Linked DNA regions of Arabidopsis thaliana. The protein of the gene in region 1 interacts with the protein of each later gene in a pairwise test. Each region holds a gene or a part of one and is shown on either strand. Other genes may lie near its edges.

Evidence for each region. The genes of interacting proteins can lie anywhere in the genome.
Region 2: the proteins of TED4 (region 1) and HBP5 interact in a two-hybrid assay, tested with the Arabidopsis thaliana proteins (one study listed by BioGRID).

Annotation. Positions count from the first base shown.
Region 1 is NC_003071.7:11,339,713-11,343,469, reverse strand, and holds the start of TED4 (Plant heme oxygenase (decyclizing) family protein), read right to left. Parts: upstream 1,923-3,757; 5' UTR 1,655-1,922; coding exon 1,231-1,654; intron 576-1,230; coding exon 352-575; intron 277-351; coding exon 76-276; 3' UTR 1-75. Other genes in the region: SPX2 (SPX domain-containing protein 2 (SPX2)), read right to left, coding at 2,767-3,212, 3,692-3,757. UniProt on the Arabidopsis thaliana protein: Key enzyme in the synthesis of the chromophore of the phytochrome family of plant photoreceptors. Catalyzes the opening of the heme ring to form the open-chain tetrapyrrole biliverdin IX with the release of iron and carbon monoxide (CO).
Region 2 is NC_003076.8:6,799,313-6,803,069, forward strand, and holds the start of HBP5 (SOUL heme-binding family protein), read right to left. Parts: upstream 1,666-3,757; 5' UTR 1,581-1,665; coding exon 1,200-1,580; intron 1,121-1,199; coding exon 983-1,120; intron 907-982; coding exon 838-906; intron 756-837; coding exon 684-755; intron 599-683; coding exon 516-598; intron 415-515; coding exon 280-414; intron 182-279; coding exon 1-181. Other genes in the region: SPX1 (SPX domain-containing protein 1), read left to right, coding at 3,117-3,386, 3,468-3,594, 3,682-3,757.

The DNA of each region.
Region 1 (3,757 bases):
CAGGAATATAAACAATGTGCATCATTTTAGTTGCCACAAGACGTATTGAGATATCTAGAGACACTGCGCACCAAATCAGGACAATATGAGACGAAGTATCTCACCAGAATACTTGAACGATTTCTCAGTCTCTTCCAAACAATGATTCTTTTCTTCTCTAGTCCACTCCTCTGCAACCTTGTTCAGTTTCTCCCTAACGTTCTGCAACAATTGAGAAAGTTCGCCGTCCCATTTGTAGAACTCGAGTTCTTTATTATCGAGTATCCGCTCTGCCACCTGCAAAATATGGTGTGCTTTCAGAAAAAATTCAAAGCTAATTTTCCAAATGGTTTTAGTGCACAAAGTTTTTACCTTTCTGCCAATCATTCGTCCACCAGCACTATGAGCAAAGTAGATGTTGTAGAAGTGACAAATGAATGCTTGAGGATCCTTCTCTGCTAATTCCTTTAAATATTGAGAATATGTTTTACCAGGAGCTGTTGGTTCTGGAATCTCGTAACCTTGTTCCTTGAACCACTCCAAATCCGTGGATAATTTCTCCGCTCTTTCCAGCCCCGTGTTCTTGAACTCGGCATCTATATAAAAAACAGTATGCAGAATTAGATCATGAGATGATTACACAAGAAAAAAAGACCTACTTTTGCATAAAGATCTTTTTCCAATACATAAGCAAACTCAGTTTTTAATTACGAGCTAATCAAGAATAAGAGATAACGTTAAGATTGAAAGTCCAAAACTCCGGTAACATTCAGTTAGATTTCACAAGTTGTACATATAATCAACCTTAAATCCACCATTCATACAAAACACCACAACCAACAACTCAATCCAAGAGTAAATAACTGAGTTGTCAAAAAACTCTGAACGATTCAAATCCAAAACAACATAAGAAATGAGGCAAAGGAATGATTTTTATCAAATGGGTAGATACTAAGATTAAATCACTTCAACCTATTAATAGATTACCATCCTAAGAGTACTTCAATTCATATCAAACCATCACTATAAGTCTATAACCAACTCAATCCAATAGTTACAAAAACCTAAGTAGCCAATAGAATCTGAATGAATCAAAATCCAGACATGATAAGAAATGAAGCAAAGGAACCATCTTTATCAAAAGGGTAGATACTACTAAGATCTAAAAACACTCCAAATCACTTCAAATTTTTCTAAAGATTACCAATCAACCCATAACAAGAAGATAAGAAGGAGAAAAAAAAAACTCACAAGTTGGGAAATTGGAGTCTTGAATAATCAGTTCAAGAGTATCATAAACCAATTTACTATCCACAAGAAACCTCAAGTAACCTTCAACAGTAGGTTCCCATTTAGCAACAGGACGTTCCTCAATAGATTTAGTCTCTTTCTCACCTTCCTTAGCTTGATCTTTAGTATGAAGTCTCATAGCCACAAACCTCATCTCCTCCACAAAACCCTTTGATTCTCCAGGATACCTCTTCTTCTGCTTCTCTGCCGCAGTAGTAGCCGCAACCACCACTAAAGACGGCGACTTGTTCATGGTCATACTCAGAATCTGAATCCTAGGTCGAAGGAAAAGTGGGTTCGGTGAGGAAGAAGAAAATTGGAATCTTGAGAGTTGGGGATTCTTGAATATGGATAAGGATGAAGAAATCGGAGCTAAATACGCCATGGTTTGATCGGAATAGAAAAATGGTTACAGAAGAAGTCACGCAATGTAGTTTTAGTTGGCTTGAAGGAATAGAGAAGAGGGATACACTATTCTAATTGAATTTTTAAATAGGCGAAAATATTAATAAAACAGAATATTGTTTAGTTGTTTCCAAATGAAGATAACGATGAGAGGGTGAATGAAGTTTTTGGACAAGGAGCTTTTATTTCGGGTCTATGTAATATCGACAGTGCGTTGAGTGTTGCACATGTCTGAATGTCTGTAGGAGTTGAAAGTCGAGGAGATTTAGAGCCGATTCAGTGACAGTTATATTTTTAATAGTATGGGTCAAAAAGAAAAAGTAATAACTTCTAGTCTTTTTTAGTTAAAATATATAAAAAAGTGAATTAAATATTTCTTGAAAGAATTAATTAGTTATAAAATAAGAAAATTGGTGATCTCAAAAAGTATTGTTATAATAGTAAAAAAAAAAAAAAAAAAAATGGTGATTTTTGAAGTACACAAAATTAGGATTTCTGGTTCGTTTGTTTTGCCCACTGCCCAGCCATAGTTTGATCAATAAGTGACGTAGATGATTTACTGAGTGGCCGCACTTAGGGACGCAAAGCGTAGTCTAAAATTTGTCGAAGCCTTATCTAAGCCCACATAAAAAAGGCCCATATATTACAAAGCCCATATAAAAGGGCCGAACAAGAAGCAGCTATACAATCTTGCAACATTCACAGAAGTCAGAACAGTTTCCTCTGCAACATATTTGATTCTTTGTGATTGAATGAGCTGCCCTTAAATTGGACCAAATATCACCTAGTTAGGAGTACAGAGACCGATTGACCCACAGATGCTAAAATGCAATACATAAGATTTCGAAATGGCGTATGTATTTCATTGTTCTCTCTGCTTGAAAGTGGTGTTACAGTCTTACAGAAGATTTTTCATACATGATATGCAGCAAAAGAAAAAGTACACGCAACCAAGTTTAAATGTTGAAAGATGATCACACTTCTATGTTTTATTTGATTCATCTTTTACAGCTGTAAGCGTATACAATTACTTGTACTATTTAAAGAAAGTACAAAAAAAAAGAGAGATTTAAAAATAATAATACTCATAATTCATTTCGCTACTTGTTCAAGGACACCAACTTTCTTCTTCCATGAATCATCTTCTAATCCACTTGCCGGTAACGGTGGCAACGAGAAGACGCTAACTGTTGAGCTACCACTGCGGATTTCCTTTAATACTTTTAATGCCGACACAGTGCTCTTCATATACAAGCTCTCCATGTACTCAATCTCAGACAGTTCTTTTGGTACTCTAAGAAGTTCAGAATCGTCCGTTCCTGTCTTGACCATTCCAGAAGTTGTCGGCTCTCCTTCTTCATCCAGATTCCGACTTTTGTTAGACGGAAAGAGGCGGTCCAGCATAGCCTCGCACTCTTTCACAAATGTGTTGAGTAGGTCAGTTGTGAAGAAAGGTTCTTGCAAAACCTTTTGGATAAATGGTAAACGGATTAAAGCACCGGTTCTTTTGTCATACTTTTTGAGAATCTTTGCCAATCCTGTAAACCAATAGAACACAATTCTACACATTTAGCGAATAAGAATAAAGGCATAAACCTCAAGTTATTTATAAGAAAAAAGTATAAAGAAAGCATCTGCGATGAGTGGCCAGTTAAACAAATTACAGCATATTCCTTCATGTGGGCACATTTCTATTTAACAAGTAACACAAAGATCGTGGAGAATATGACTCTTAACATAGACGTAATGTTAATACTAACTCAAGTTCCCTACTAATCAATCTTTCACAAAACTTCTAAAAATATTGCCCATTGACACGGTTTCACTTACTAGGAAATGCTAAAAACTAGAGCTTGACCTTGTAAACGAGTTTTAACATCTAAAAACTATCAATTGTCCAACATGTGAGCTTGTTCTGTTTACTCAACGTCGGCTTTCGGGCTACGAATGATTAGAACATATGAGAAAAGAACGAAAAACAATAACCATGGAGATGACATGAGAAAGAAAAGTTTACCTGTATAGTTAAGAGCACTATAATTCATCAACAAAACCATTTCTCCATGAAAATCAACAATCTCTT
Region 2 (3,757 bases), on another chromosome or scaffold:
GTAACGAGCAAGCATACAACCTTTCTTAGCTCTCAGACCATCTTTACTCAGACTGCTCCTCAGTTCATTCTCTTTTGCTTGGACAACATCCTCTGTCGGTTTACCACTGAATTTCACTGCTGCAGCAAAACCGCCTTCCAACTTCTTCAAATTTACCTTTTCTTCATTAGGCATTGGTAAGCTAGAGGAAAAAGGAAAGCAAAACCATTCTCATCACACAATGATTCTCATTAACCATATCTGATGTCAACTAAAAAACTATCCATGATAAGGCTTTACCTGCTAAGATCTTTTCCTGATGGAATAACAATTTGTACAGAGACATCAGAAGAGAGTTGAGTATCTGTTGTTTGAGTAAACACTGGAGTTGTCATTGGTATTTTCTCCATGGTCGAGTTCTTTCCAAATATGTAGCTTCATAGGTAAAAAAGCTAGCATGTGTTACATTTATCAAAATAAAACAAGATGCCAGAAGAATTTATGGACACTCACAGAAACTTAGACTTAACCCTCACCCAGCAACATTGTTGAAACCTGAAGAACCAGAAAGCTTGTCACCAATTGTCTCCACCACAATGAAGGGCTCATAGTTTCTAACCTGCCAAACAATCAAATCCAACTTAAGGCAAGCAACCACATTTGCATAGTTGGTTCCATTAAGCCAATACATGAAGATATGTGACCTCATAGTTTGCTGTTCTTTTCAGTATTTGATACTTTGGAGTTTCCAAGTCTGGCGTTTTATATATCCGTAACTGCAAAAAAAGGTAGTACTTGTAAGATATGATTAACCATTTCTAAGGGGGCTCAATTCATGCCAAATGCCAAGAAAGCAACCTGCTTAAAAACATCAACAAGACCTTCAAGAGAAAAGTAGTCATTGTTCTTGATAGAATCCCACAAGTCCTGCACAACATCTACTTGTAATAAGTAGACCATACCACAATAGATTTTGGAAGAAGGACATGGCAACCATACATACCAGATGACTACAAAATTTGTTAGTTTCAGGATTAACTTCCATGATTGATAATCCAGTGAAGACAAGTTCTGGTTTCCATGGTAAAGGTATGAACTTCATCACCATTGTCCATCTCGTAGTGATCTCATATGGACCTGTCTATATATCAGCTGCATCAGTGAACTTAAAAAAAACTAGAATTAAAGAAATCAAATGATAAACAAAAGTTAGCAAAGACCTGTTTAGCCCAGTGAAGCTGAAACTGAGGAGTGAAGATATTCTTGAGGAAAGCAATGTTGAAGAGATAGCCAGAGATGGTGTCGTGCTTAGTGATTGGGTCTCTGAACTTCACGCGCTCATCGTACGCCGTTTTATCGATTCCTTGGTCGTCGAAAAGGTGAGGAAGATCCTCGTACAAGAATCCGACGAGCTCTTCCATGTTCACTGTCGACGGTGCTGAAGCCACTTCCTTGCCCACCTCAAGACTCAAAATTGGCCGTAGACGAGTGGTTACGTTGCGTCTCGGAACAGGGAGGAAACGGGTGGTTACATGCCGCCGGCAGTCACTTCCGACGGCGGTGAGTATTGGCCGGTAAAGCTGCTGATTAACGGTAGCCATTGATCGTTGATAAAAAAGTTTTCTGCTCTATTTTATTTCTTGTGGTTGTTCGCTTTCATTTAACAATCGGTTCTTTTTTGGTACTGTCGGTTCGGTTTGGTTCTGGTTTTATTTACGAACCAAACTAAATTTGTTTCGGTTAAAATTCAGATTTTTTTTTCACTCTTTAGGCTTTTTTCATTATGGAACTTTGACTTAACGAGGCCCATTCCATTTGGGCTACTGGAGGGAACTTAACTCCAACAATGGATTACTTTGCTTGCATACATTAATTACATACGTACCCAGAAATGAGACAGAGACACGAAAGTTTCGATTATACGGCAAAGTAAATATTGTTTTAGTTTATCCGTCAAAGATTGTAAAGAATACGACGACCATGTCATAAGGATTTGGACTTTGGTTGTTTGACTAATAAACTGATAGTCTTCTTAATAAATATAAATTGACAAGTTGTAAAATCAGCAGAATTTGCTGCATATAGACAATGTCAAATGGACCGGTGGTTTATCCTAAATGTCAAAATCAGAAGCTAATAATGAGCAAATGTGAATGAATTAAGACGCGAATCGGGAAAATTCAATAAATTGTCCATTGGGGGGTGCTTTAAAGAAAGATTGAAAGATGCCGAGGTTTATACCCTTTTCCTATCAAGAATATTCCATGGAATCCAACTACTTTTGACCCATTTGCGTATTTGTTAAATCTTTTCAGAAAATCAAAAGTGGGTAAATTGTCAAACTAGTTGTAGTATTGAACTACTATTTATTGATCATGCCATCATCATGGAGAGACAGATATGATCATGAAGACCAAACGTCCACGTATTTATGTCATGACGACAATCTGAGCTGGATTTGAGGATATCTGTAACTGTAAATACTATATCCAATATTCATTTTTTTTACTTTGCAATTCGTTTTTGATTAAATCTAAAAATGCAAAAAAAATAAAAAATCACTACTACATAGTGTATCTGCATGTATAAATAGACATATATTTTTAAAAAGATGATTTAATACATACTGTACATAGTTATGAAGATATCATGAACATATATAGACAATACCAAATAAGGAAATCTAATATCGTAAAATATTTAAATATCAGATGAATACAGTACAAACTCTAAAGAAAATGAATCAAGATATTAGTACGATACCCATACGAATTTAGAAAAAAATGAATCAGATAAATGGATATAAAATCTGTAATATTATTTTTCTTTTTTTGGACAGCAAATCTGTAATAATAAGTATTGGATAAATAAATTGGCATGTGAGTTGTGATTGATATTTATGAACTGACATAGGCATGTGTTATAATCTCACCCACAGATAACCACGAAAAAGTAATAAATAAGAAAGGAATAAAAGGAAGATATTCTCCCGAAAGAAAGACAGAGAAAAAAGGATATTCTAATTAGAAACCTTAAGAATATTCTTTTTAATCCCTTTTATATCTCTAAACCTCTTCCCCCTCTCTTTCTTCTTCATTCATCATTCTCACTTAAGTTTCCCAGAAAATAAAAGAGCTATGAAGTTTGGTAAGAGTCTCAGCAATCAGATCGAGCAAACTCTTCCTGAATGGCAAGACAAGTTCTTGTCTTACAAAGAACTCAAAAAACGACTCAAACTCATCGGTTCCAAAACCGCCGATCGTCCCGTTAAACGACTCCGTTTAGATGAGTTTTCCGTCGGAATATCGAAAGAAGAGATCAATTTCATCCAATTGTTAGAAGACGAGTTGGAGAAATTCAACAATTTCTTCGTTGAGAAGGAAGAAGAATATATCATCAGACTAAAGGTAATATAAACAACATTTCGAATCCGATTCCTAAAAATGATCATCTCTTTTTCTAATGTGTCTCTGTCTGTACAAAAACAGGAATTTAGAGATAGAATTGCGAAAGCTAAGGATTCAATGGAGAAGATGATAAAAATCAGGAAGGAGATTGTTGATTTCCATGGAGAAATGGTTCTTCTTGAGAATTACAGTGCTCTTAATTACACTGGTAATTTAATTTAATTGCCTCATTAAGACTTAATCTTATTATTAGTAGTAGAACAAAACGTTGATGAATGGTTTGTTGAAACAACAGGATTGGTTAAGATACTGAAGAAGTATGACAAAAGAACTGGTGATCTCATGCGTTTACCTTTCATCCAGAAAGTTCT